Oryctolagus cuniculus: one gene and its partners. The protein of the gene in region 1 purifies or fractionates together with the protein of each later gene. This does not show direct contact. Links are inferred from orthologs where the notes say so. Each region holds a gene or a part of one and is shown in the gene's direction. Other genes may lie near its edges.

Evidence for each region.
Region 2: the proteins of EPB41L3 (region 1) and PNN purify together in Homo sapiens (co-immunoprecipitation; 3 studies listed by BioGRID and IntAct, with this or other methods). This does not show direct contact. The link is inferred for Oryctolagus cuniculus from reciprocal best matches to the Homo sapiens genes EPB41L3 and PNN.
Region 3: the proteins of EPB41L3 (region 1) and GSK3B purify together in Homo sapiens (affinity purification with mass spectrometry; 4 studies listed by BioGRID and IntAct, with this or other methods). This does not show direct contact. The link is inferred for Oryctolagus cuniculus from reciprocal best matches to the Homo sapiens genes EPB41L3 and GSK3B.
Region 4: the proteins of EPB41L3 (region 1) and RNPS1 purify together in Homo sapiens (co-immunoprecipitation; 3 studies listed by BioGRID and IntAct, with this or other methods). This does not show direct contact. The link is inferred for Oryctolagus cuniculus from reciprocal best matches to the Homo sapiens genes EPB41L3 and RNPS1.
Region 5: the proteins of EPB41L3 (region 1) and NUMA1 purify together in Homo sapiens (affinity purification with mass spectrometry; 3 studies listed by BioGRID and IntAct, with this or other methods). This does not show direct contact. The link is inferred for Oryctolagus cuniculus from reciprocal best matches to the Homo sapiens genes EPB41L3 and NUMA1.
Region 6: the proteins of EPB41L3 (region 1) and CLNS1A purify together in Homo sapiens (affinity purification with mass spectrometry; 3 studies listed by BioGRID and IntAct, with this or other methods). This does not show direct contact. The link is inferred for Oryctolagus cuniculus from reciprocal best matches to the Homo sapiens genes EPB41L3 and CLNS1A.
Region 7: the proteins of EPB41L3 (region 1) and HSPA12A purify together in Homo sapiens (affinity purification with mass spectrometry; 4 studies listed by BioGRID and IntAct, with this or other methods). This does not show direct contact. The link is inferred for Oryctolagus cuniculus from reciprocal best matches to the Homo sapiens genes EPB41L3 and HSPA12A.

Annotation. Positions count from the first base shown.
Region 1 is NC_091441.1:62,322,140-62,326,087, reverse strand, and holds part of EPB41L3 (band 4.1-like protein 3), read left to right. Parts: intron 1-462; coding exon 463-537; intron 538-903; coding exon 904-1,002; intron 1,003-2,074; coding exon 2,075-2,785; intron 2,786-3,294; coding exon 3,295-3,417; intron 3,418-3,948. UniProt on the Homo sapiens protein: Tumor suppressor that inhibits cell proliferation and promotes apoptosis. Modulates the activity of protein arginine N-methyltransferases, including PRMT3 and PRMT5.
Region 2 is NC_091443.1:36,472,157-36,476,646, reverse strand, and holds the start of PNN (pinin), read left to right. Parts: upstream 1-1,472; 5' UTR 1,473-1,916; coding exon 1,917-2,029; intron 2,030-2,681; coding exon 2,682-2,753; intron 2,754-3,160; coding exon 3,161-3,229; intron 3,230-3,683; coding exon 3,684-3,756; intron 3,757-3,869; coding exon 3,870-3,964; intron 3,965-4,113; coding exon 4,114-4,189; intron 4,190-4,490. UniProt on the Homo sapiens protein: Transcriptional activator binding to the E-box 1 core sequence of the E-cadherin promoter gene; the core-binding sequence is 5'CAGGTG-3'. Capable of reversing CTBP1-mediated transcription repression.
Region 3 is NC_091435.1:76,474,073-76,478,020, reverse strand, and holds part of GSK3B (glycogen synthase kinase-3 beta), read left to right. Parts: intron 1-2,274; coding exon 2,275-2,468; intron 2,469-3,948. UniProt on the Homo sapiens protein: Constitutively active protein kinase that acts as a negative regulator in the hormonal control of glucose homeostasis, Wnt signaling and regulation of transcription factors and microtubules, by phosphorylating and inactivating glycogen synthase (GYS1 or GYS2), EIF2B, CTNNB1/beta-catenin, APC, AXIN1, DPYSL2/CRMP2, JUN, NFATC1/NFATC, MAPT/TAU and MACF1.
Region 4 is NC_091450.1:33,013,093-33,016,305, forward strand, and holds part of RNPS1 (RNA-binding protein with serine-rich domain 1), read left to right. Parts: intron 1-45; coding exon 46-201; intron 202-667; coding exon 668-859; intron 860-1,071; coding exon 1,072-1,174; intron 1,175-1,323; coding exon 1,324-1,477; intron 1,478-3,213. UniProt on the Homo sapiens protein: Part of pre- and post-splicing multiprotein mRNP complexes. Auxiliary component of the splicing-dependent multiprotein exon junction complex (EJC) deposited at splice junction on mRNAs.
Region 5 is NC_091432.1:63,479,632-63,483,579, reverse strand, and holds part of NUMA1 (nuclear mitotic apparatus protein 1), read left to right. Parts: coding exon 1-622; intron 623-1,056; coding exon 1,057-1,098; intron 1,099-2,514; coding exon 2,515-2,583; intron 2,584-3,948. UniProt on the Homo sapiens protein: Microtubule (MT)-binding protein that plays a role in the formation and maintenance of the spindle poles and the alignement and the segregation of chromosomes during mitotic cell division.
Region 6 is NC_091432.1:68,750,992-68,755,401, reverse strand, and holds the start of CLNS1A (methylosome subunit pICln), read left to right. Parts: upstream 1-1,270; 5' UTR 1,271-1,319; coding exon 1,320-1,444; intron 1,445-4,410. UniProt on the Homo sapiens protein: Involved in both the assembly of spliceosomal snRNPs and the methylation of Sm proteins.
Region 7 is NC_091446.1:13,651,727-13,655,674, forward strand, and holds part of HSPA12A (heat shock 70 kDa protein 12A), read left to right. Parts: intron 1-3,088; coding exon 3,089-3,192; intron 3,193-3,873; coding exon 3,874-3,948. UniProt on the Homo sapiens protein: Adapter protein for SORL1, but not SORT1. Delays SORL1 internalization and affects SORL1 subcellular localization.

The DNA of each region.
Region 1 (3,948 bases):
GTGTGTACTTTACTCCTAACATGCAACACATAAATGGGGAATGCAATCACTCATCTGAAATATAAGTGAGAATTTAGTCCTAACGTAAATTTTTAAATTTTAACATTTCATTTTTTAAGCACTCATTTTTATGCTCTTACAGGTAGCTAACATAAAAACACTGTTCAGCTACCAAGAAGCCCTTTCTGTCACTCATATATGTTCTGTGTTTGTGGAAATGAGAAATGGTTGAGTCGTATAAATCTCCAAGTTTCAGGAAGGGATCTGTTGCCTTTGGAAATAATTATTGGAGACAGTTTCGGTCCATTTTGCAAATTAACAAATAATAATTTACTTCTTTAAAAGTTTGAATGAGTATCATGAGTATAGATTTTAATACAATAAAAGAACTCACTTCCTAACTTGCCTTTTTGGAAACTGTCTACTTCCTCTTCTCCAACCCAACCCCCTTTATTCAAACAGACCAAAGAAGAAAGAGAAATTTCTGAAAAAGTTATATTTTTGCAACAAGGAAGCTCTTCATTCCTTGAGTCTCAGGTAAAAATAAACATCAAGGACTTTGTAGAAGGAATTGCTGTTCAGACTTCAGTATTATTAAAATGTCTTTAGTTTTATTTTCCTGTTTAAATTTCTCTCATTTAAAAGTAAGGTGGGTCTATAAGTTTTGCTTCAATTCTAGGGAAAAGACAAAGGAATTTCCTTAGTATTTTCATTATTTGTAACATGTCACTTCCTTGTGCTTCTGTTAGGTGATTATATGTTGTCATTGAAGCACCATGATTGTACTTTTGTCTTAGTGAAACTTCACTGCCTGTTTTTACCCACAGTTGGTTTTTCTTTACTGTACTGTAGCTGACCTTGATTGATTTTGAAAGCTCTGAACTTTTATTGGTTTTCCCATAGCCGAGTGTGATCAAGAAAATGCAGGAAGGAGGCTCTGCTGACTCTATGGTTACCTCTCGTCAAGTCATTTTCCAGAAAACTGTCCCAGCGACCCTAGAGGTTATTTTTTTCAATTCATTTCATTTAACCCAGCACCAGCATGTAATCAAGATGTAGTCATTTTCCTTAAGGCACATGCTATTTCTAGATTCAAGTTTTCAGACTACCGTAAATATGAATGTAGAAAACATCCTAGATTAAAATGTAAACCAAAGCACTCACCCGCTCCTGGTTCCCTTCTGTAAGCTATGAGGCTAGTCAACTGCCCAGTGACATCTGAATACAGACTTTCATTTCTTCTGCCGTACTGGGATTCACATTGAGGAAAGTGGGGAAGAAGCTACTGAGACAGTGAACTTCAGTTGTAAATAAATTTGCACACTGCACACGTGGCTGTGATCTGTTTATACAAGTCTCCAACAGTGTCCCTCAATGGGAGCTATTTCATGGAAGTGCCTAGAACTCAGGCACACACGATATTTATCAGGTAATTGCTCTAGTGGAGTCAGATACCAACAAAAGGAAGTACAGCTCACAAACACAGAAAATTATAAGTACAAAAATGTGAATAACGTTGGCAAGTTCTTGTGAGAATGAGGGTTTTCAAAAAGTTCCTGGAAGATGCGTAAAGTGAAAAAAACTGCATGGATTTCAAAGCTTTTTGCACCAAAATACACTTTTTCTAAATGCATTTTCCTACAGACTTTTTGAAGTATCCTTGTACTTGAAGTATACAGTATATTTAACACAGAGAATTGTTCTTTTGTGTTCACATACAGAAACTAACTTGTAATAATGACTTCAGTAATGTTTTGTAATCTTGAAATATAAAATGACCATAGTTAATCACAAGATCAAATATATTTCTTGCAATATTGACCACCAAAGCATGTTCATGTCGAGAAATCTGAAAGTGTAATTCTGCCTAAAGAGTATATTCCAGGTTGAAGGTTATAGTTAGTAAATTTCCAATGAGAAGAGAATGCAGCTGTTAATTATTACACTGCCCGTCCTGTGCAGCCCCACCTCAGGCCTGCCTGTAGCTCTTGCCCTGATTTTCTTAAAAGGTTCTTATTTTAGAAATGAGATAACCATCAGAATTTCTAATTTAGCTTTTATATTTCAAATATAGGGCACAGAGGATTGGGTTATTGTAGACAAAATACCCACTGAGGTAGTTGATGGTGATTTGAAAAAGATTGTCACTTACAAGGTGGTGACGGTGAGCAGTAGAACTGGTGACCTCCCAGCCGACATGTTAAAATCTGGCTCCCTTGACATGCACGGCCTCCATGACTTGGCCCGAGAAGTGCACTTGAAAGAAGAAAGCAAGCAGAAGATATACACGCTAGGAAAGTCCTATGACACCGTCTCCGGAAGAGTTGTGACCATGACTGGGAAAGCCAAGGAGGGGGAAAAAGCAGAGCCGCCCTCCACACTGGAAACACCTCTGAAAACGGAGAGGGGCCCCGGCCTGGCGGAATATGAGGGCCTGGAAGCCCTTGCCGGTGAGAAACCCAAGCGAGGACCCGAGGTCCAGACGACAAAGCGGAAGTTGTCAGAATCTCTGGCACCCATCAAGGAGGCCGAGTCTCGTCGGCAGAGCCCTGAGGATGAAGACACCAGGAAGGCTGCAGAGCTGAGGCTGGAAGCAGCTGGCCACCCTGGGCTGGACAGCCTGCGCCTTGGCAAAACGGAGCAGGTGCAAGAGAGTGAGGTCTTGAAGGTGGGCCTCTTCGGTCCCCGACGGAAGAGCCTGTCCGAGTGGAGATACTCCCAGGAGCCAGCCTTGACCGTGGCTACTGCTCATTACCATACCGAGTCGTCCACGTCCCGCGTGGTGGTAACCAGTGGCTCTCATTCCGCCGCAGCTTTAGATTCCAGCATGACCTGTTCTGAGGCAGTGCCCCTTCCGCCCCACACCTTCCCGTTTCTCTTGCTGCTTGGCTTTGTGTTGAGAGCAGCCAACCCAGCTTTTTGAGTTTTTTTCATGGTTCAGTCGATACCGCAGTCCCAAGAGGGCATTAAAATGTTTATTTCCAGCTACCCGTTCCCAAGATGTGATCGTGCTGCTGTGCCTGGCAATGAAGGAAAAACATGACCCGCTTTACTGGGTGCCGCCCTTCTCCTAATAACTCTCTCTCTCTCTGCTTTACCAACCAAGAGCTCAGGGTCACCCTGGTTGGCTATTTTATTTCCCATTCTTTTCCGTTTCCGAACTCCGTCTCTTAGTTTCCTTCCTTCCTCCTCCCCTTCTCCTGCGCCTCCAGCTGTGTGTAACAAGCCGTGAATGTGTCTCTGCTGAGGACCTGTGTCTCTGGTGCTTGACTCTGCCTTTCTCTGTCCACTCAGACCAAGCAGGCTTCCGGCGAAAAGCTCATGGACGGCTCTGAGATCTTCAGTTTGTTAGAGTCTGCCCGAAAGCCAACAGAGTTCATAGGAGGGGTTGCCTCCACTGCTCAGAGCTGGGTTCAGGTGCCCACTGGCTTCCCTCCTGCGTGTTTGTGCCTGTGCCTTGCTTTATGTGTGTGTGTTCGTGTTTTGCATTCAAGTGGCTTTGCCTTCGAGACCTCACAGGTGCCTTCAGGGATTGTCCTTTGTGCCTGCTTGGTGTTTCTGTCCATCCACAGTTAGTTCCGCTCCAAGGATGTACTTGGGGAGCCAGCATAGAGACCGGTGGCGAAGACACCATATCCCGTGGGGGAGTACCTGGCTTTGATTCGCAGTGCCAGCTCCAGCGGCTCACTCCAGCTTCTTGCGAATGGAGACCCTGGGAGGCAGCAGTTAATGGCTCAAGTAATTGAGTTCCTGCCACCCACTTGGGAGATCCAGGTTGTGTTCCCAGCTCCCACGCTTAGCCCCAGCCACTGTGGGCATTTGGGAATACAGGTGGCCTCTCTCTCTCTCTCTCTCTCTCTCTCTCTCTCTGCCTTTCAAATAAATGAATTATTTGGTTTAAAATAGCATACTTTAGATGGTCAAAAGACAGCCATGTTGAGAAATTCT
Region 2 (4,490 bases), on another chromosome or scaffold:
TGCAGCTACTTGGGGAGTGAACCAGCAGACAGAAGATCTCTCTCTCTTTCCCTCCGTTGCTGTACCTTCCAAATAAAATAAATCAATTTTTTTAAAATTAAAAAGGAAGCTACTTCAAAAGATGGAAGATCTCTATCTCCCTGCTTTTCAAATAAATAAACTTTAAAAATAAATAATTCTCATCTCACCTTTTTCCCTTTTTCTGTTAAAAATTTTTTAATTTATTTATTTGAAAGGTAGATTTACCGAGAGAGAAAGAGAGAGAAAGAGAGAGAGAGAGAGAAAGGTCTTCCTTCTATTCTTTCACTCCTCAGATGGCTGCAACCGCTGGAGCTGCGCCAATCCGAAACCAGGAGATTCTTCTGGGTCTCCCACGCGTTTGCAGGGGCCCAAGGACTTGGGCCATCTTCTACTGCTATCCCAGGCCACAGCTGAGGACTGGATCGGAAGCGGAGCAGCGCCCATATGGGATGCCAGCGCTGCAGGCGGAGGATTAATTTACTGCGCCACAGCGCCGGCCCCTCTGTAACACTTCTAACACTCCACATAATTTACTTTTGTTTATAATCTGTTTCCACACCTTTCCTCCCTGCAAGCTCCTTTAGAGACCTCTGCTGCTCACCACTTTATCCAAAGTGCCTAGAACAGTGTCTGGCTCACAGTAGACACTCAATGGTGGATCCAAAGATCTTTGCTCCTTTAGGAGCTACCCATTCCACAAAAGCAGGAGCCACAGCTAACTTGTTTTAGGAAATTCGCCCCCCCCCCACACCCCCAGTCTAGCTTACTGCTGATACACAGTGATCGTTTTAAAGGATAGATCCTGAAATAAAATGGTAGCTCTAGTTAAATATAGTCGCCCTGCTAATGTTTAGTGCAAGGAGGATGGCTGGCTGAGATTATTCAAGTGGTTTCCGTGGGGAAATGTTTTCTGACCTACGCTTTATACTACATTTTTTTCAAACAAAATCAGTTCATACGTTGGCGGTGCAGGCAGAGTAGAACCAGAGGCCAGTTCTCTCTCTCACATACACACACCAACAATAATGGGGACACCACAGACTGGGTCTTAAACCAGCAGGCTGTAGACTAGGCGAAGGTGCTCAGTCAGTCGTGCCTGCGTCGACTTTTTTCTTCTCGTCGTCGGTTTTTTCTTTTAATAAAGCCTGGCACCGGGTCTGATCGGATGGCGACTTCTGGCATGACCTAGGGGCAGTATTCCTTATCAGTATTAACTGGTACTGTTTCAAAGCGCTTGGTGGTGAGGAACAAGGCACGTAAAGTTTCACACGGCGTCCAGAACCAGACCAGCTCGATACAGCTGTCAGTTCTTAGGAGTATGACGTTTCTTATTCTTCATCTTTCACTCTGCTTCCCCCTACTCACTTTAACCTAATGGAGGGAAGCAGACGCCCACTCCACCTCCGGGCATGCGCACCAACCATTTGGCCACGCCCTTTCTTAATTAGATTATTGATCCGGGTGCGAGACGGAGGAGAAGCCGACTGGCCTCCGTCCCACCCTGGTGGGATTTTGTCGTTAAAACGATATAACGTACGTCACACCACAGGTTAAAAGGGCTGAACAGCCCAGCGCTCTCCGCCAGAACTGCAGGTCTGCGAGTACGTCCCCGAGGACACACGTCTCTCTCAAGCCCGCCCTGACTCTGCGCTAGAAGCGGGACCCAGCCACCCGCAGGAAACTGGGGAGGGAGGCGACCGCCTGGCTGACTTTTCATTGGTCCAGAGCCACAAAGATTGGCAGTGTCTCCCCTTTCCAGTCTCTGAGTGGTTGAGACCAAAAATCAACGCCGCTCGTCATTGGCTGAATCCGGCTGTCAGTCCTTTCAGGTCTCGCGGCGCGGCGCAGCGCGGCGCGGCCTGTAGAGCAGTCTTGAAGCCTGCTGCAGGGAGAAAATGGCGGTCGCAGTGAGAACTTTGCAGGAGCAGCTAGAAAAGGCCAAAGAGAGCCTAAAGAACGTAGATGAGAATATCCGCAAGCTCACCGGGCGAGATCCCAATGACGTGAGGTAGGAAGCGGACGGGAACTGCGGGCTCGGAGAGGCAGCCAGCAAGTCAGGGTGAATTGGGGGCGGGGAGAGCGGCCAGCCCTGAGAAGGCAGGAACATCGAGGCCTGTTCCCGGGCGGCGGTAGATTCCCGTCCTCCCTGATTTGGGGAGGCCCCAGCCCCGCCGTAGCGCGCCTCGTTGCGCCGGCATGATGTCCCGGCTTGTGAGATGGGCTGGACTGGAGATTCCCGCCCTCAGCCCCGCGGGCCCCGGAACTGCAGTACAAAGCCCCTTCCCGCTGCGGCGGCCGCCCTCCCTGCCCGGGGTTGGCCCCAGACCCTCCGGGCCGTGCCCACCGCCTCGCTCCCAGCCCTTGCCCACGTGCGTCTAACTCCGGGATGGCGCCATGGGGACCCGGTCCTGGCTTGGTAACGAGTGGTGGCATCGAGGTAAACATAATTTCTGAGATAATGGTCTCGAGAAAAACGAGGAAGTTAAATGAAATAGGACTCCCTGCCCCGTTTCAAACGTGTGGCTTTTAAACCGTCTTAGAATTTTGGGGAAGTTATTATTATTATTTTTTTTTTATGATCTAACACAGGTAGGAAGGGATTTGGTGCCGTTAGATTGGTCTTCCTGTAATTTTTGTACTGACGAGTAAATCCCTTCCAGGCCCATCCAAGCCAGGTTGCTGGCCCTTTCTGGTCCTGGTGGAGGTAGAGGACGTGGTAATTTATTGCTGAGGTAAGATTCCCTTACGCTTTTACTAGTGTTAAAGGCTAACTAAATTAATACACTGTTTGAACAAAACCTGTGTTGGAGCCAGTGTTAGAGTAACGTGGTATTCTCTGTCTCTCCATCTCTGTGTAACTGTCTTTCAAAATAATTAAAATACATCTTAAAAAAGAACAACACAGTATTTGCATTTAATGTTGTAATCAGCTAGTTTTCTATGTAACTAGCTATTCTGAAGCTTCATTTATATGTAAGAGGTTGGAGAATTTTGTGCAACTTTCTTGTATTTTTTCGTGAAGTATTTTGGAGTGAATCCCACTTAACATAACTTTAACTGAAAGAATTTTTAAAAATCAAATTGCGTTCTCTTGTATCTCGTGTTTCAAGTGCTTTCTGTTGAACAATTTTAATTGCAGGCGTGGATTCTCAGATAGTGGAGGAGGACCCCCAGCCAAACAGAGAGACCTTGAAGGGGCAGTCAGTAGGTAGGTTTGAAAGATTCTTAAGTACACAAAAATAAGTATTTCATGAATATTGTTTTGTTGCATTAGAATTGACTAGTATCCACTTTCCCTAAAGCTTGCCATGGTATTTGACTGAACTGAGATAACCAGTGTTCCTCAAAATTCAGTTCTTTGCTCAAGGTGATCCAGTTTTTATCAGACTAAGGTCATAAGAAGTCCATTTGTACCGTATTTTTATGTCCTGTACTTAAAGAACTTAAATAGCCTAAGAAATAATTTATATGTCATAGGAGTTCAGAGTTTGGGCATTAGTTGACACGTTTTATCCTTTCTTTGCCAGAGGAAAAAGTAAATGGGATGGAGACTGCTAAATGAGTTTTCTGGGAAAGAGACCTAGCAACAGTAGGCATTTGCCTTGCTATGCATTTACATCAAATTCTGCAGTGGTTATTTAAATTACTTTTTGCCATGACAGGCTGGGCGGGGAGCGTCGGACAAGAAGAGAATCACGCCAAGAAAGCGACCCAGAGGATGATGATGTTAAAAAGGTACTGAGATTAAAAGAACTTAATAGAGAGTGAATGGAATATTTATACTCTGTGTTTAAAAGCATGGCACTCATATACTAGTTAGATTAATAAGATTTTCTTTTCGCCTACAGCCAGCGTTGCAGTCTTCAGTTGTAGCTACCTCCAAAGAGCGTACACGTAGAGACCTTATCCAGGATCAAAATATGGATGAAAAGGGAAAGCAAAGGTATCTTTAGAATTCTTTTGGGGAAACTAATCTGTCAAATCCTGCAATTTAAAAAATGTGAAGGGATTATTCAACTGTCTGCAGTATCAGAAAATGGCAGATTTAAATGTACAGCCTGTTAAAATGGGATTTTCTTTTTCTATTCTTAGGAACCGACGAATATTTGGCTTGTTGATGGGCACCCTTCAAAAATTTAAACAGGAATCCACTGTTGCCACTGAAAGGGTATTTATGGTTTTTGTTTTGCTTTATCAAAATGGTTGATTAATGTTTTTTGAAAAGAACTTAAAAACTCTTCTAAAACTTCATTGCAAGCCTAAAATGGAACTAAGTTAAAACTTTGAGGTTATTGTATTATTAGCTGGTATAATTTTGAAGGACTGTGAATTGCATGAACTATTTGTGATAAAAAGAGCCCTAGTCTGTAACTCTTAAGGATCTAAGTTGTGATCTAAACTCTTTGTCTGGTCTTGGATAAATCCCTTTGTTAGTGCATTTCAGAGTAGTTTCTGGCAAATAAAGGAGT
Region 3 (3,948 bases), on another chromosome or scaffold:
CTTGTGTTCTCTTACTGAACAAGCACAAAGGTGTGAGTTGTTTTCTTTACTGAAATATCATCATAACGTAGAAAAGCATAATTTTGTGGTATACCCCAGTTTTTGTTTTCATATAAAATTGTGTAGTATAGCAGCCGATCTCCAATTTATTCATTTATCTTAATTAAGATAATGATGGTCTGTTTTGTGAGTTAGACATGTAAGATTTTGCAAGCAATTTGTACAGTGAAATTAATTCATAGTTCTTGAAACTTTCTGATGATCGAGTTTTAACTTCAGTGGTAGAGGGAAGAGTCAGACTGTGTTTGAAGTCACTCCAGCTTTTTGTCTTCTTTGGGACCATTGGGTTGTAAGAATATATTCAATACCTTGGATTTTAATCTTTCCGAATGAAATCTTCCTGGGCTTGTTCATTTTGAGTTTAAGTTCTCAAAATTAAGCTCTGTCCTTAGTAGTACTAAAAACAGATAAAAAGAAATTTATTTTGCAAATGAATAAGAAAATAACATAAGGTTTATAGTTTTTTGTTTTTAAGATTTACTTATTTATTTGAAAGTCAGAGTTAAACAGAGAGAGGAGAGGCAGAGAGTGAGAGAGAGAAAGAGGTATTCCATCTGATGGTTCACTCCCAATTGGCCACAACAGCTGGAACTGTGCTGATCCAAAGCCAGGAGCCAGATACTTCTTCCCGGTATCCCACGCCGGTGCAGGAGCCTAAGGACTTGGGCATCTTCTACTGCTTTCCCAGGCCATAGCAGAGAGCTGGTTCAGAAGTGGAGCAGCCAGGGTGTTAACTCGCTGCGCCATAACGCTGGCCCCAAGATTTATAGTTAACTTGGAAAATTATAGTTAAGATTAACACGGATATTTTGGGGGCTGCTGAGTCATGAAAACTAGAGCTCTAGATTAAACTAGATTTTTAGTAAATGTATCTGAGATTTATTTTACTAGGAAATGAGACTTAAAGTGAGCATTTGGAAATTTTGGGAACAGCTATGTATGTGTTGGTTTGTGCTAGGGTTTATATGCATTTAAAACATGTAATGTAAAAAAAAAATCACTCTTTCAAGCAGTAGCAGCTTAGTGCTAATTTAATCTTACCTGCTTGGGTAATTTTACCTTGAAACAAGGTATATGTGTTCAAGAGTTGTCCATGATGACTGCCTGTAAATTACCTATGCAGGGGTGGGAAATTTTTTTCTGTCAAGAGCCATTGGATATTTATAATATCATTTGCAGTCCATACGAAATTATCAGCTTAAAAGTTAGTCTGCCATAGATTTACTGAATTTGGAGTCCTAGTGGTTGCCTTGGCAGGACCAGATCAAATTTATTGGGCCTTGTATGGCCCAGGTGCAGGACATTCTCCACCCCAGTAGGAATCAAATCATTTCTTTGTATCTGTTATGAAGATTGTTTTATAAGCAGGAGAGTAAATCTCAGTCATTGTTTATTGTCTTTTGTTTATATTAATGTTTCTATGAATTTAAATGGTTATAAATCTGGAATATAATGTTCCACCAACATTTTAGATATTAATTTATTTAACAATTTAACTTTTGGTGATGAAGAATACTCCAAAAATATTACATTTCTTTTACTGGGTTAGTATGAATTAGGTAAGGATGGCAGAGGAAATATATACAGTTCAGTCAGTGAACCTGAGGATTTAATTTATTCTGAAAATTGGTTTTAGATTTGTCAGTGAAGAGATAAAGTAGGAAGCACAACTGCTATTTTAAGATGATTTTAGTCTTCTAGAGTCTATGTGTATTCTGAAATCACTAGGAGAACAATATGATGCTTTTAAAAACCAGGGAGTTAGCAGTGCAATTTAGAATAATTTAAGAATTCGGAGAACATGGTGATTCTGGGCTATGCCTAGTCAAGTACACAGTAGGTCTTCAGCTTGAATTGAAGAGAGCTTTTAGGATTTCTGCTAGGAGGGGAGGCACAAGAGGGCTGTGAAAGTTCTTTCCATTACCTTTAATATGGTAACATCTTCTTCATGGGGTCCTGTTTCCACTAAATAAAATTATACATATAAACTAAGTAAGATGCCTGGTCTACAGAATGATTAAATAAATGGTGGCTTAAAAATTACTTGTAATTGAAATGTATAACTGAAGTAATTTTATATGATAAACTAAGATGACTATTAAAAATTTATTTGTAGTAAAGAATATGGTGGTCTTTGTAGTTTGGGGGAGTTTTCTCAGTTTAACTTTGTACACTTCTAATTTTTTTTTTCTTTGAATCCCTTTCTTCCTTTAGGAGACAAGGATGGCAGCAAGGTAACTACAGTGGTGGCAACTCCTGGGCAGGGTCCAGACAGGCCACAAGAAGTCAGTTATACAGACACTAAAGTGATTGGAAATGGGTCATTTGGTGTAGTATATCAAGCAAAACTTTGTGATTCAGGAGAATTGGTTGCCATCAAGAAAGTATTACAGGACAAGAGATTTAAGGTAAGAACATTTGTGGCTATCTTTTTTTTTAATTTTTTTTTATTTTATTTATTTGAAAGAGTTACAGAGAGAGGTAAAGACACAGAGAGAGGTCTTCCATTTGCTGGTTCACTCCTCAAATGGCTTCAATGGCTGGAGCTGTGCTGATCCGAAGCCAGGAGCCAGGAGCTTCTTCCAGGTCTCCCACATGGGTGCAGGGGCCCAAGGACTTGGGCTGTCTTCTACTGCTTTCCCAGGCCATAGCAGAGAGCAGCCGGGACTTGAACTGGCGCCCATATGAGATGCCGGCGCTTCAGGCCAGAGCTTTAACCCGCTGCGCCACAGTGCTGGTCCCATTTGTGGCTATCTTAATCAAGGGTTCATCAGAAAGTTCATGAAAAAATGGAATGAACAGCTAAGTTTATTTTGATGTAAAAATACTTGAAATCCAGATGGCCTAAGTGCTTGGGCTTCTGCATCCAAATGAGAGTCCTAGAAGAAGCTCCTGACTCGTGGCTTTGGTCTGCCCCAGCCCTGGCCATTACAGTGATTTGGTAAGTGATCCAGCAGATAGAAGAATACACACACACTCTCTCTCTCTCTGTCTCTCTCTGTCTCTCTCTCACCTCTCTGTTTTCCTGCCCCCCCCCAATGTAATTCTGCCTTTCAAATAAATAAATCTTAAAATACTTGAAATCCATTATACCTTTTCTATAATATGCATTTTCATGAAATTTTTGAAGAACATTCATATGCATGAATTTATTTTAAGATTTATTATTTGAAAGAGAGAGAGGGAGAAACAGAGAGATCTTCTATCCACTGGTTCACTCTCCAAAAGGGCTGCAATTGTCAAGGCTGAAACCAGGAGCCAAAGAGCTTCTTCTGGGTCTCCCATGTGGTGCAGGCTTCCAAGCACCTGGGCCTTCTTCTGTTGCTTTCCCAGGCACATTAGAGAAGCCAGATCAGAAGTGGAGTAACCTGGACTCAAACTGTTGGCCATATGTGATGCTGGCATTGCAGGCAAATGCTTTACCTGCTATGCCACAACGCTGTCCGCTCAAAATTACTTACACCTAAATAAATTTTTTTTTTTTTTTTTTTTTTTTTTTTTTTGACAGGCAGAGTGGACAGTGAGAGAGAGAGACAGAGAGAAAGGTCTTCCTTTTGCCGTTGGTTCACCCTCCAATGGCCGCCGCTGCAGCCGGCGCACCGCGCTGATCCTGGCAGGAGCCAGGAGCCAGGTGCTTTTCCTGGTCTCCCATGGGGTGCAGGGCCCAAGCACCTGGGCCATCCTCCACTGCACTCCCTGGCCATAGCAGAGAGCTGGCCTGGAAGAGGGGCGACCGGGACAGAATCCGGCGCCCCAACCGGGACTAGAACCCGGTGTGCCGGCGCCGCAAGGTGGAGGATTAGCCTATTGAGCCACGGCGCCGGCCTACACCTAAATAAATTTATCTTTTAATTCTTTTCCCCCAGACTTTGAATTAACTGCATATGT
Region 4 (3,213 bases), on another chromosome or scaffold:
CTGCTCGGAGGAGCAAGCGCTCTCACACTCTTCCTCACCGTGCAGGGCTCCCTCTCCTACCAAGCGCAAAGACCGCTCTGACGAGAAGTCCAAGGACCGCTCCAAAGATAAAGGGGCCACCAAGGAGTCCAGTGAGAAGGACCGCGGCCGGGACAAGGCGCGGAAGCGGCGCAGCGCTTCCAGCGGCAGCAGCAGCACCAGGTGGGGCGGGCGGGCCGGCGGCAGCCACAGCCGCCTCTCCACACGCACCTGCACGCTGGTGCCAGAGACCCCGGTGCCAGGCCGCTCAGGGTCTGCTCTGGGTGTACGGAGGGACGGCCTTTCTCCTTTCTGTGATGGCAGGGAGAGTGGTGTTGCGTGCGGCGTGTCCTGCGCTGCCGTGTGCTCACACTGCCCGGTCGGGAGCTTATCCTGGTGGTTGGAAACCGGCCCAAGTCAGTGAGCAGCGGCCTCCCGGGCAGAGCTGGCGGCTCTGGCTGCGCCGAGGGCCTCAGCGGGAGAGGCTTCTGTGCAGGCGGAAAGTGGCCGGGTCCTTTTGCCTGCCTCCAGGCGCTTGGGCAGGGGGCGCCTCCCTCAGGCGGGAGAGCGCAAGCGTGCAGACGCCCGGGGTCTGGTGGAGGAGCAGCTCCCGCCTGTTGCGGCGGTGACCCTTGGTGTCCTGCCTCAGGTCTCGCTCCAGCTCCAGCTCCAGCTCGGGCTCCAGCACCAGCACGGGCTCCAGCAGCGGCTCCAGCTCCTCCTCGGCGTCCAGCCGCTCCGGCAGCTCCAGCTCCTCCCGCAGCTCCAGCTCCAGCAGCTCCTCTGGCTCCCCGAGCCCCTCCCGGCGCAGGCACGACAACAGACGGCGCTCGCGCTCCAAGTGAGTAGGCCAGCCCGCGTGCCAGCCGGGCGGTAAACGCACCGAGTGTTTCTGTCCCGATAGGCTGTAAGCCGGGGTGACATGCATACACTGGTAGCAGAGTTTCCTTAGAAAGTGTTGGGTACGCAGGTAACTTCCACTAAAGGGAGTCCAGTGCGTTTTGAATTGACAGGAATTGTTTGTTGTGGTGTTTCATTGTCTTCCTCACTCAGATCCAAACCCCCTAAAAGAGATGAAAAGGAGAGGAAAAGACGGAGCCCGTCCCCTAAACCCACCAAAGTGCACATTGGGAGGCTCACCAGGAACGTGACCAAGGTGAGGGTCCCGGAGCCAGGCGGGACCGTGGGGGGTGCGGGGGTGCGGGGCTCGGCAGAGCTCTGGCTGACTCCGGAGTGTTACACAGGCCTCGGAGGCTGATCGCAGGATGAAGTAATGGGTGGTTGAATGAGCTTTCTTTCCTCCAGGACCACATCATGGAGATATTTTCCACCTATGGGAAGATTAAAATGATTGACATGCCTGTGGACAGGATGCACCCCCACCTGTCCAAAGGCTACGCCTATGTGGAGTTTGAGAACCCGGACGAGGCCGAGAAGGCACTGAAGCACATGGACGGAGGTCGGTGGCCCTGCTGGCGCGCTCCGGCCTCTGAGCCCTCCTGGGAGCTCTGGGGTTCCAGTGCGGGTGTGCTTACCAGAAACGTGTTTTTGTGGCACACTTGGTTTGGAAAAACATCCCACAATATGAGTGTATCAGCATTTTAGGGAACTTTCCATCTGTTAAAAGCTTAAATATCAGACAGGCTATACAGATATGCTTGGCTTTTCTCATTCTTTTAAGATTTATTTATTTGAGAGACAGGCACAGAGAAAGAGCGAGGTCTCCCATGTGCTGTTTGACTCCTCAGCCACCGCAGCCAGGGCCGGGCCAGGACCCAGGGACTCCATCCTGGTCGCCCGTGGGGAAGCAGGGGCCCAAGTACTTGGCCACCATCTGCTGCTTTCCCGGGCATGTTGGCAGAGAACTGGGTTGGAAGTGGAGCAGCCGAGACTGAACTGGCAACTGTGCGTGGGATGCTGGAGGTTGTAGGCTGTGGTTTCACAAACCTCTCCGCCATAGTCCAGCCCCTGTTGGGCTTTTTATTTCCTTTTCATTGCTTCTGAGTCATTTTTTTGTTTGCCAGTATTTTTAGGATTCCTTTGTTGAGTGGTAGGTTTGCTGAAATCACAAAACTTACTCTTAAATACTTGTGGCCTTCAGCTGCTTGTGATGTGTAGAGCTGTTTGTGTTGAGCAGAGTGTGTTGCTTGATTTTTTTTTTAAAGATTTATTTATTTGAAAGAATTACACAGAGGAGGAGAGGTGCGGAGAGAGGTCTTCCATCCTCTGGTTCACTCCCCAGTTGGCCACAACGGCCGGAGGTGGGCCCATGTGAAGCCAGGAGCTTTTTCCTGGTCTTCCCATGCAGGTGCAGGGGCCCAAGGATTTGGGCCATCTTCTGCTTTCTCAGGCCATAGAGAGCTGGATCAGAAGTGGAGCGGCTGAGTCTTGAACCCTTTTGGAAGGTGCCGGCACTGCAAGGGGTGGCTTTACCCGCTACACCACAGCACCGGCCCCGAGTGGAGTGTGTGTGTTTTTTTGTTTGGTTTGGTTTTTGTTTGTTTGTTTGACAGGCGGAGTAGACAGTGAGAGAGAGAGACAGAGAGAAAGGTCTTCCTTTGCCGTTGGTTCACCCTCCAATGGCTGCTGCAGCTGGCGCACCGCGCTGATCCGAAGCCAGGAGCCAGGTGCTTCTCCTGGTCTCCCATGGGGTGCAGGGCCCAAGCACTTGGGCCATCCTCCACTGCACTCCCGGGCCACAGCAGAGAGCTGGCCTGGAAGAGGGGCAACCGGGACAGAACCGGCGCCCCTACTGGGACTAGAACCCGGTGTGCCAGTGCCGCAGGTGGAGGATTAGCCAAGTGAGCCGCGGCGCCGGCCTGGAGTGGTCTTTACAGCACATGAGTAGTTGTGGATGACCATTTTTGTGTTGCCTTTCAGTCGGCACGGTAAGGAATGCCGGGCTTGCCTCTGCCCAGCTTCCTGCTTGCTGTAGTTGGGCTGGGGCTGAGTTCGGCAGCCCACAGGGAGGAGAGGGAACGCCTGAGTAGCTTCCCAGTTTCTGTGAAAAATCGCCTGTGGGTATTAAGTTCTCCCAGTACTTAGCCAGCTTCTCTTTCAGTTGACTTGAATCCCTCTGGAGTGTTCTGGGAACTCCGTGTGAACTGTGTCGCTCCCACCTGCTTCTGGCCTTGTGATTTGCCTCTTCGCTTCAGAGTCTGCAGTTGGCTGGCGTTTGAGACTGGGGAGGCTGGG
Region 5 (3,948 bases), on another chromosome or scaffold:
GAAGGCCTGGCAGGAGAAGTTTTTCCAGAAGGAGCAGGCCTTGTCCGCCCTGCAGCTGGAGCACACCAGCACCCAGGCCCTGGTGAGCGAGCTGCTGCCCGCGAAGCACCTCTGCCAGCAGCTGCAGGCCGAGCAGGCAGCCGCCGAGAAACGGCACCGGGAAGAGCTGGAGCAGAGCAAGCAGGCAGCCGGTGGGCTGCGGGCAGAGCTGATGCGGCTGCAGCGGGAGCTCGGGGAGCTGGGGCCCCTGCGGCAGAAGGTGGCGGAGCAGGAGCGCGCAGCCCAGCAGCTGCGGGCGGAGAAGGCCAGCTATGCTGAGCAGCTGAGCATGCTGAAGAAGGCCCACGGCCTGCTGGCAGAGGAGAACCGGGGGCTGGGCGAGCGGGTCAGCATTGGCCGGCAGTTCCTGGAAGTGGAGCTGGACCAGGCCCGGGAGAAGTACGTCCAAGACTTGGCTTCTGTGCGGGCCGATGCTGAGAGCCGCCTGGCTGAGATGCAGCGGGAAGCCCAGAGCGCTGCTCGGGAGCTGGAGGTGATGACTGCGAAGTATGAGGGTGCCAAAGCCAAGGTCCTGGAGGAGAGGCAGCGGTTCCAGGAAGAGAGACAGAAACTCACTGCCCAGGTACCGTGCCCGGCTCCCCCATCCTCAGAGCTGTGGACCTGAGGGGGCAGGGACACTGTTCCTCTGTGTTCTGGGGCTGCTGGCTCCCACACCGCAGGGTCTTGCTTGTCTCCTTCACTGGAGGCTGAAAAGGAGAGGCGGTTGGTAGAGCTCAAGAGTGAAGCCTCTGTAGTCCTAAAGAAAATACCCGTGGTCTCCCTTACCTGGGGGCTCCGTGCCTGGATAGTTGGGAGCACCACCAACCCATTGCAGAGGAACAGCTGCCCTGGAGGTCCCAGGAGCCACTGGGACCTAGAAGAAGCCTAACTGGCATTTTCTAAAACAGCCTGAAGTGTAGTTCCCTGGGGGAAAGTACCAGAGCCCCAGTGAGCTCAGCCTGGTGCCTCTTTGGCCCCCATCTCACTCTGTCTCCATTGCTCCTCCCCCGTGCACAGGTGGAGCAGCTAGAGGTATTTCAGAGAGAGCAGACTAAGCAGGTAATGCCTGGGGTTCTCGCTAAATGCTGGCTGCTTAAGCGGTGACCAGTCTCGGTGCATGACCCCGGCTGCAGCTTGCCTCCGCCAGCTCCCGTTGTGAACTGTTTGTGAAGGGGGCAGGGTCTGCCCAGGAGTGCAGTGTGCTGGCCCCCCCGGGGCCTCATCCCACCCATCCCAGGTCGGCCTCTCCACCCTACTGCACTTTTCTCTCAGCTTCCTGTCAAGGAAAGAGGTAGCATAGGTGTCATCTTTCCCATACCTGACGACCTCAGTCCCTGGGATTCCAGAGCCTCCCAAGTCCTGTTTCTGGTTAGGGACATCCGACTAAGGGATATCAGGTACCTAGGGCCCTGTTTTTCATGGCACTCTTCTTTCCCACGGAGTGCGGGTTTATTGAAGCCATGAAGGAGAGAGATGTACAGGGTTAGGGAGGGTGCGGGTCCAGGAGGCCGCCCAGCGCTCTGCAGCTTGCACCCTAAGCATAGTGGAGAGACGTGGAGAGGAGCAGGTGGGCTCTGCCCCGAGGCGGGACACAGGGTTGGACTGCTCTTCCTCACAGCTCTCTCTCTGCTCCAGGGCGTTGAGGCTGTTGCACTGGTGTTTGTGAGAACACCTTTCTCTACCATCCTCCTCCCCAGTCTCCTCGAGCCTGCTAAGGACTGGGACCCCCTTCTCTCACCTCCAAGGAGCCCCCGAGGATGAGAAGTCAGATTGGACAGCAGACAGTTAGCGGTGGAGCCCCTGCCTCTCCCCTTTGCTGTCTGGTCATGTGTGAACTCCCGGAATGCCTGGACGAGCCAGGGCTGCTTGTGGCTGTTGCCTTCCCTCTTGCCCCGCCTCGCTCTGCTCTTCTCTCTGTGGGACTGTGGGGCGGGCTTGGAGGATGTGTGCTGTCCCTGCTCTCGTCTCCAGCGTCTCTCCCCTAATGCTGATGTTACACAGCAGCCACACTGCTAGCAGCAGCCCTAACAGCCTGTGGGTGTGGGACGAGGTCTGAGCATCTGTGGGCCTCTGCTTTGGCAGTGTCTGGGTGGCAGGCGGGGTGGGCAGTCACTGAGTGCATCTGCTAGTTAGAGGCCAGGCCCCCGTTCCTACCCCAGCTTGGGAAGGGTGGCTGGGGAGCAGTGGCAGGAACTGGGTGGTGGTGAGGAGCCAGTGCTGCCAGCTCTGGTGGCTGCAGGGTAGGGGCGGGTGAGGGGCTGGGCAGGTGGGCCTGGCAACATCGGTGTGGTGTGCTGCCTCACTCAGGCCCTGCCAGCCAGCTGGGCATCAGGCTGTGCCCTAACTGGAGGCCAGAAAGAAGGCTTGAGTTTCTTCTTCTAAGAACACTGGGTGTGGTGGTCCGGGGACTTCCCGTAGCTTGGCTAGACATACAGGGGAAGGCCTCCTGAGTCTGCCCTTCTTTTTCCTCCCCAGCTGGAAGAATTGAGTAAGAAGCTGGCTGACTATGACCAGACCAACAAGATGCAGCAGCAGAAGCTGAAGGTGGGACAGCTGGGGGCGGGCAGCACGGGCCTGACCTCTGGCTGCCTCACAGTGAGGCTGGGGGAGGGGAGGTGCCTCGGAAGCCCTTGGGCTGTGGTGGGAGTGGGGGCAGAGGCGGCCTGCGTAGGCTCAGGAGCCTCTGCCTGTGTCCCATCCCACTAGACCTCACTGCCCACTGCAGCAGCCGCTGCTTTTGGATGGCTCTTTAGATTTGAATTCAGAGTAAACAGAAAATCAGCTCTTCACTCACACCAGCTGCATTTCCCCTGCTCAGTAGTGTCGCATGGCGAGGGTTACCAACTGGCAGCACAGGTGGCAAACATTTTAGCAGGGCAGAAGGTTCTGTTGGATAGTGCTGGCCTCAGTAGCCTGAGCTCAGGGTGTGGCAGTGTCAGCCCTGAGCAGTACCAGGCAATCTGTATGTTTTTAAAAGATTTATTTGAAAAAGGTACAGAGAGATCCATCTATTGGTTTACCTCCCAGATGGCTGAAAAGACCAGGGCTGAGCCAAGCCAAAGCCAGGAGCCAGGAGCTTCTTCCAGGTCTCCCACATGGGTGACAGGGGCCCAAGCGCTTGAGCCATCTTCTGCTGCTTTGCCCAGGCCATTTTTTTTTTTTTTTAAAGATTTATTTATTTCAAAGGCAGAATTAGAGAGAGAGGTCTTCCATCCACTGGTTCACTCCCCTATTGGCCACAAAGGCCAGGGCTGAGCCAGGCTGAAGCCAGGAACCAGGAGCCTCAACCAGGTCTCCCATGTGGATGCAGGGCCCCAGGCACTTGGGCCATCTTCTGCTTTCCCCAGGCTGTTAGCAGGGAGCTGGATGAGAAGTGAAACAGCCAGGGCACAACTCGCACCCCTATGGGATGCCAGCGTCACAGGTGGCAGCCTCACCCGCTGCGTTACAACGCCAGCCCTGTAACGGTATTCTTAATGACTTCAACCTTGTCACCTTCTGTGACTAAATATTTGCTGTGGTTTGAGGCTTCAGGGCCTTTATTTGAGGACAAAGAAACTGGGTACCAGGGGCTTTGGGACTCACTGCCATCCCCTCCATCCCTGTCCTGACTGCATTCTTTCTGGGGCCTGCCCTGTGCTGGAAGAGAGGCAAGGGCAGGATGCTCCCCTCCGGGACCCACAACAGGTTAAGCACTTGCCAGCGTTGAAGCTGGACAGAGGATCATGCCCGGCTCTGGAGTTTCGGTCTGGATCCAGGAGGCTGCTGGGACACAGCCAGCCACCATAGGCACTGGGCCCATTTGCTCTGCCATTTAGTCACTGTGACCCTGGTCGGTCCGCATAAGTCTGAATTCAGTTTCCCTCTCTGGGATGAGGCTAAAGCTACTTTTCAGAGTAGGTTTGAGGA
Region 6 (4,410 bases), on another chromosome or scaffold:
GATGCCCCGAAGAAGAGACTCCTTTAAATTCATATCATCAAAGTTATCAACAATCTCATTCCAGTTGCTCTCGATGACACCATCGGGGTCCATTCCCTCTGGGCCGCCATGTTCTCTGTTATAGTCCGCAGAGCCACCAGACATGTCCGAACAGCCACTCAGCGCCCGACTGAAAAGTATCCCCATCCTTTCTGCTACTCTCATCTGTTCTACGGCAACTGCTTCCTAATACTTTGTTCATTTTGCCCCTCCTCCAGCCTCACTACCAACAAACCAATGCAGCTTAAAAACCCAAGACTCCTCTAAATGTGGAGGAGATAGAGTAAATTACCACCACGTGTCCCGTCCTGCAGCTTCAACAATCCAGCATACTGCCTCGTTATTACCAGCGATTTTACAGGCCACAAGAGTGGAGCCTAGAGAGACTGACAAGAGTTCCACTAGGTGTCTCATGATCCAACCCTTGCTCTTGAATTGAATGCCTCAGGTCTCTCAGGTGTAAAATTCAAGGCAGTAGTAACTCCGTATAAATAAGTAATATGGACATAGTGCCTAAAACAGTACCTGGCATGTGTACTCTGCTAACTTTAGCTACATTCATGACTATTCGTACGTCTTCACTGCTGCTAGACGCGTTACTAAGTGACTAAGGAGGAAATACAGCAAGAGTTCCATGTCTGGGGGGTTAGTTCTTTTCCCTTTGGCGCCCCATCTTTACTGCCTAACCTGCTCTTCACCCTGCGTCAATTCTCTCTTCGTCCCCTCGCCCGCCTGACACGTGGGGACACGTGGCTCGCGCGCCAGGTGCATAACTGGACCTGGCTGTGTCCACCTGACCTACGAACAGCCCGGGTGAGGCGGGGGCAGGAAACAGTCGTGAACTGAGCCGGGAGACTTCTGACCTCTAGAGGACGGTGGTCTCCACTTCCTGTGCGTTCTCAGGCCAAGAACTCCGTGTCTCAGGCCCGTTTCCTCTTCTGTAGAAAAAGGACTAATATTGTTCGTCCTTCTGCTCTGATAGGGGTACGGTGACGACCCTGAAGTTCCCAGAGAACCCTCGGCTATTCCAAGGCTACAGCCTCAGAAAGAGAGAAGCAAAGTGAGGGGTGGGGTCGCCTGAGAAACGCGGCCTGGTCTTCATGGACCTCCGAATGTTTTTCCTAGATTGTCTCGTTTCTATGGTCGATGGCCCTCAAATTTCCGCGCAGGCTAAGTTATTCTTCCGGGGTGGCTGCCACTGCTTCCGGGGCGGGTCGGAGCGAGGTGGGGTCGCTGTGCCGCAGCTGCCTGCCGGTGTGCGTTCCGCGTTCGGTGCAGCCATGAGCTTCCTCCGGAGTTTCCTGCCTCCCGGGCCCACGGAAGGGCTGCGGCACCAGCAGCCGGATACCGAGGCAGTCCTGAACGGGAAGGGCCTCGGCACCGGCACCCTCTACATCGCTGAGAGGTAGGGTCCCGGTTCCCCAGCACTGGCCTCCTGCGCGCCGCCTCCCGCCTTGCTGGCGCCGGCGGTGTAGACGAGCCGGGCGAAATGAGGGCTCGGGCTGCCGGGATCGGCGGCGTTTGCGGCGCGTCGCCTCGAGGGTGCCCGGGCTGGGAGGAAGGCTGGAGTATTCTAGTGGCCTCCCCCTGTGGAGTCTCCCCGCCTGTCTTCTCCAGCCGGAATTTCTCCTCGTGTATTGTGCCCCTAACCGCCTGTGTACCGGCGATCTGGCGTGTGCCTTGCTCGTAACTCATGGTCCCTTTTTAAGGTTTTGAGTTCCAGGCTCTGAGGTAGTTTTTGGTGTGCCCGTGTTTCCGGCTGAACTGGTGCGGGAGATGTGGGTTCCGAACAGATGGTGGAGGATGTTGAGAGTTTGGTTAAGGAATGTAGGTTTTCTTCTGTAGATGTGGAGGGGAGGCAGGAACGTGCTCAACCCCACGCAGGCGGAGGTCACAGCCACAGGGACTTGATTCCCCTGTGGGGGCCCTGGAATCGATCCCCTGGCACGGAAACCTGTCTTAGAGGCTGCAGTTGTGGGACTGAGGTCCCTGTGCCCTTGACACGTGGTCCCCTTCATCTTCAAATCAACAGTGACACATGGAATCTTCCTGATCATTAAACCTCCCCGGCTCCCCCTTTTGCTACATCACATAGCAGCCAGAGAACTCTGCTTTTAAGGACTGATGTGATTACAGTGGACCCATCCGGATCACCCAGGCCAATCTGTTTGTGTTTTATTGTCAGGTTCTTAGTAACCTTACATACATTTATAGAGTCGCTTCTGCCACATAACATTCACAGGCATGGTACCAGGGGATGAAAGTCATGAGGGCCAGTTTTTTGCCTACTACAGAGTCTTGGGCACAGAAAACTGTAGAAAATTACTGGTGTAGAGGAGAACTTGGGCAAAGCTTGGGCTTTTGGCCAATCAGTGAGATAGTAAACATGGATGGGGAGGAAAGCAAATTTGGGCTGAGGAGCAGATAATGAGTTTGGTTTGAAAGTGGGTGTGGTTCAACATAAGCTCATGTAATTTAGGGAAACACAATTAGAGATTTGGAAGTCGAGGGAATTGATTGGATAACCTGGAAGTGAAGAGGGCCAAGCGTAGAACCGTGGGGAGGCACTTACACTAAGAGATGAGTCATGGAGATGAGGCTTGAGAAAAGAGGAGGAAAGAGCAGTTAAAAGGAAATAAAACCTGAAAAGCTGCCGTTGAGTTCCACAAGGAAATCTGGTGATCTTGGGAAGAGCATGGAACACAGAGATATTCCCTGCCTCTCTCCAGTCCTTTTTTCTTCGTGGCATCTCTGTATTTGGCTCTTCTTTATACAATTTCATTCTATGGGAAGATATTTACATTATGGAAAGTTTCAAACGTAAAGGAAAATTGCAAGTGTTGTTAATACCTCTATGGTCTCTTAATGATTCAATAATTATTTGGCATATTAAATTCTTGAGCTACTTGAGACTTGCAAATATGTTTTTACTTTATTTGTAAATACTTTAAAATCTTCAAAGAACAAGGCCGGCGCCGTGGCTCAATAGGCTAATCCTCCACCTTGAGGCGCCGGCACACCGGGTTCTAGTCCCGGTCGGGGCGCCGGATTCTGTCCCGGTTGCCCCTCTTCCAGGCCAGCTCTCTGCTATGGCCAGGGAGTGCAGTGGAGGATGGCCCAGGTGCTTGGGCCCTGCACCCCATGGGAGACCAGGAAAAGCACCTGGCTCCTGGCTCCTGCCATCGGATCAGCGCGGTGCGCCGGCTGCAGCGGCGGCCATTGGAGGGTGAACCAATGGCAAAGGAAGACCTTTCTCTCTGTCTCTCTCTCTCACTGTCCACTCTGCCTGTCAAAAAAAAAAAAAAAAAAAATCTTCAAAGAACAAAGATATTCTTCTGTATAAGCGCAATATGATTTGCATACTCAAGAAGTATAACTTTTTAACTTCTTACCTGTTTTTTTTTTTTTAAAGATCTATTTTATTTATTTGAAAGACAGTTACAGAGAGAGGTAGAGACAAAGAGAGAGAAAGGTCTTCCATCTGCTGGTTCACTCCCCAAATGACTGCAGTGGCCAGAGCTGAGCCGATTTGAAGCCAAGAGCCAGGAGCCTCTTCTGGGTGGGGGCAGGGGCCCAAGGACTTAGGCCATCTTCCATTTGCTTTCCCAGACCATAGCAGAGAGCTGGATCGGAAGGGGAGCTGCTGGGACTTGAACCCGTGCCCACATGAGATGCCAGTGCTAGAGGCCAGGGCTTTAACTTACTGCACCACAGCGCTGGCCCCCGTTCCTGTTTTTTTAAAATATTATTTATTTCACGTTTTCACTAACAAATCTTTTTATTTAAAAAAATGTATTTTGGTAAAATATACGTGCAGAAAGAATGTTATAGATGTATGATTTAAAGCATATATACATAAATATACCTGTATATCCTGGTGGGCTCTGTGGCACAGCAGGTTAAACTGCTGCTTGGGACGCCCACACCCTGTATCAGAATGCCAGTTCCTACCTTGGCTCATTTGCTTCTGATTCAGTTTCCTGCTAGTGGCCCTGGGAAAGCAGTGGATGATGGGCCAAGTGCTTTGGTTCCTGCTCTGCATGTGGGAGACCCAGATGGAGTTCCTGGCTCCTGGCTTCAGTGTGGCCCAGCCCTGGCTCTTGTGGGCGTCTGGGGAGTGAACCATTGAATGAGATATCTCTCTCTCACTTTCTCTTTCTCTCTCTCTCTCTCTCTCTCTATGTTGCTATGCCTTTAAAGTAGGTGAACATAAACAAATAAGCATTATTTGACAAGGAATACAAGAACAACACTATCAGTACCTTGGATATCTCTGATCATCCTTTTTTACTTGTTAGTCACACCTCCTTGGTCTTGTTCCCCTCATTTTTTTGTTCTTTCCCACTTAGCATTTCCAAGACCTGATGGGTT
Region 7 (3,948 bases), on another chromosome or scaffold:
ATCCTCCACTGCACTCCCGGGCCACAGCAGAGGGCTGGCCTGGAAGAGGAGCAACCAGGACAGAATCCGGCGCCCCGACCGGGACTAGAACCCGGTGTGCCGGCGCCGCAGACGGAGATTAGCCAAGTGAGCCGTGGTGCTGGCCACATGGTTTATCCTCTAATACACAAATACAAGAATACCTTTAAAAGTTCATGGAAAAATGAAAATAAAAGAGAAATGTCTCTTGGTGCAGCTGCTTCTCTAACACGGCTTTTTCATGAGCTTCTGGAAGACCTCTTGCGCGCAAGGAGCTCGAAACTTCCTGCGCCAAAAGACACTTCCGCTTCACTGTGTTCCCATCAGCCTTCCGAAGCAGCCTCCTGCGTCAGTGTGGGGCTCTGCAGGAGACACGTTCTAAGTCCCAACCATAGTACCATCATCATCATCAACCACCTAGTCAGCATTAACATTGGTTTTCCACTTAGCTCATAAAGTCTCTCCATTTGCGTCATGGTGCACGCGAGGGCTGCACACGGCGAGGGCATGACGTGCTGTGGCGTACGCCGAGCGTACAGGCCCCTCCTGTTTACGGTTTATTCCGCAACAACACGGCTGTTCAAGCTGCTGAGTTCTCTGCTGTCTGCTTTTGCTCCCCGCCTGCCCGGGGTGTTACGTAACACTGTTCTACTCTCCACTGGGAACGTGTTGTGGCTTGACTTAGAGGAGTGATCGGGTCCAGGTTTGCAGATCTAGTCCCTGGCTGGGGCATTTCCCACCGCATCGCATCAGGGCACAGGCGCTGTCTCTTCTCTGTGATGTTCGTGCCTTTCGGTCATTGCCCGCGTCCATTCCTTCATGTGGCCGTGCGGCTGCGCAGGCTGTCATTCTTTCTTCATCAGTTGAGCTGGAATACTGCTTGAGCGAGAATCTTCTCCACAGTGGTTTTGTTTGCAGTTCCTGTTGGAGCCGGTGCCGTGGCTCACTAGGCTAATCCTCCGCCTGTGGTGCTGGCACCCTGGGTTCTAGTCCCAGTTGGGGCGCCGGATTCTGTCCCGGTTGCTCCTCTTCCAGTCCAGCTCTCTCCTGTGGCCCGGGTGGGCAGTGGAGGATGGCCCAAGTGCTTGGGCCCTGCACCCCATGGGAGACCAGGAGGAAGCACCTGGCTCCTGGCTTCAGATCAGCACAACATTGGCCGTAGCAGCCATTTGGAGGGTGAACCAATGGAAGGAAGACCTTTCTCTCTGTCTCTGTCTCTCACTGTCTAACTCTGCCTGTCAAAAATAAAATTAAATAAAATAAAAACCAGTTCCTGTTGGAAAGACAGAAAAATGCCTGGGTTAATGCCTTCATTTATGAGCCAGAATCCCTGGAGAGTTGATTTCCTAACATCCTCCAGAGTGGCTAAAGAATTGGTTTTTATTCTCTTGTGGGACACAGGGACAGCATGAGTAAGCATTCATGGCATAAGCGTGTCTGGTGTGTTTTCAGCCACGACACCTATGTCCTTATTGAGGCTCAGGTCATCCCGCACTGGCCAACTGTTGCCTCTGCACATGATTCTGAGGGCCTTGGACAGGAGGTCCTGGTGGTCTCTGACCACATCTCTGCCTCTAGGAGGTGGAGAAACCCCTCCTGACTCAGCTTGGCCATTTCTCTAAGAAGCACTAGGGCAACACGGTGGATTTGAGTCCCGGTCTTCTTGTCCTTGGAGCCGGGCTACACTGGACTCTGACTGGACCGATGTCCTCTCTGCCCCACTGGCCCCCTTCAGAGGAACCCGCCTCTGTGTTGAACCCCAAGTCCTGCCTGCAGAGTTTGAGGGGCCTGCCAATCCTCCTACTGAGGACACTAGCCACAGCTGTGGGGTCACCCCACCCCATGCCACAGTGTCCCTTGGTCCATGCCATGGGAAGAATTGCTGGCATCATCTACAGAGTGTCGGGGAAGCATCTGGTGTGTGCTGGGTTCAAGGGTGGATTGCCGCGTGCCTGGCCCCCAGCTTTCGCACAGGCGGGGCACAGGCTGCGGGTCTGGGGAATAAACAGTTCGTGGCATCCGTGGAGCATCAGAAAGTTCCCACTGTGGTCGCTCACTTGATATTCACCGTCACCTGTGAGGGAGACAAGGTGAGTCTGTTATCCCAACTTCCAGATGTGAGGACGGCGCTCACACAGTAGATGGGACGGAGAGCTGTTCTGCCACGCTCAGGTCTTAGAGAAGCCCGCAGCTGCTGCGCGGTGGTGGCCGGCCACCCTGGGTCCCTGTCCCTGCTTCACGCTGCTGCTGCCCTGGACATGCTGTGCTTTTTTTTTTTTTTTTTGACAGACAGAGTGGACAGTGAGAAAGAGAGAGAGAGAGAGAGAGACAGAGAAAGGTCTTCCTTTGCCGTTGGTTCACCCTCCAATGGCCACCGTGGCCGGCACACCGCGCTGATCTGAAGGCAGGAACCAGGTGCTTCTCCTGGTCTCCCATGGGGTGCAGGGCCCAAGCACTTGGGCCATCCTCCACTGCACTCCCTGGCCACAGCAGGGAGCTGGCCTGGAAGAGGGGCGACCGGGACTAGAACCCGGTGTGCTGGTGCCGCTAGGCGGAGGATTAGCCTGTTGAGCCGTGGTGCCAGCCCCATGCTGTGCTTTTGACAGAGGGACTAGGAAGGGCATCCAGTAGGACTGAGCTTGTCACTGACATGTGACAGGTGCCTGGGGCGCAGGTGATGCAGCCGGGTGCCCGCGCTGGTATCTTGGTAGCCTTACCCGGCAGTACAGACACCACACCGGATGAGTCTTTAATATCATGGCATCCAACCTTTGTTAGAATCAGATGGGGTCCTCCAGAAGAGAGGGCTGCCCTTTATTTACGCCCCTTTGCTACTGCATTTGGCTTCCAGTATCCCAGCAGCAGGTCGGCCACAGCCCGAAGCAGAGAAACAGAAGAGATTCGGTCCTAGCTGGTGAGCGGCTAAGGGTCGAGGTCCTGCAGGTTGGAGGACGTCCAAGGGAGCTTTTGACTTGCAAGCTCTTTCTGCTCTGGGGTGTGACAGGCGTTCTGCCAGGGCACAGGACTTCTCAGGGAGACCCTCACTGCCTGCTCCCCCCTTCTCTCCCAGCGTGGATTTCGTGAAGTGGTCCTCGCAGGGGATGCTGCGGATGAGCCCGGACGCCATGAACGCCCTCTTTAAGCCGACCATCGACAGCATCATTGAGCACCTCCGTAAGTGCCTGCGGCGCCTTGGCCACACAGCGGGGCAGAGCTGAGACTGGGGCCTGACTTCTCCAGCATCAGGAGTCAGGCTGGTAGGGGGCCTGGGGCTGGATGCCACAGGAGTGAGCAGGGCTTGGGCTGGAAGCCACAGGAGTGAGCAGGGCTTGGTCATGTAGCGAGGAGGTCCCACCCCTCTCCTCAGGTCCTGCAGAGCCGCCGAGAGCCTGCCCTCACCTGGGTTCCAGTTTGGCCCCAAAAGACAGAGAAATAGGAGCTGGGAAGCCTCCAGGGAGTGCACTGTCTGCCTCATCAGGACACGGGGGGTCCTCACCCTGCTGGGAGAGAAGCAGCTGTGGTGGGAACCAAAGGAAGGTTTTCCCGGGGCAAAGAGGACCTGGCATGCAGTCCTACTGCCCCTGCCAGTGGCCCTGACCCAGGGACACACAGCAGACTCGCTGGATTGAGGTCCAGCAGGGGCCTGCTGGATGGGAGCTCTTGCTGTCCATCTCTCAATTAAATAAAACAGAATGGCTCCTGGAGAATTCTCTTCAGTGAGCTCGGATGCCGCCAGCCAGCTCTGCAGGCGGCCCACGTGGTTTCTGTCCACTCGCCACGGGCTCGGGCGGCCCACGGCTCGTGTGCCTGCTGGCTTTCACCAACGCGATGTTCTGTCTCCCTCTTGCTTTTCAGGGGATCTGTTTCAGAAGCCCGAGGTGTCCACGGTCAAGTTCCTCTTCCTGGTGGGTGGCTTTGCCGAGGCGCCGC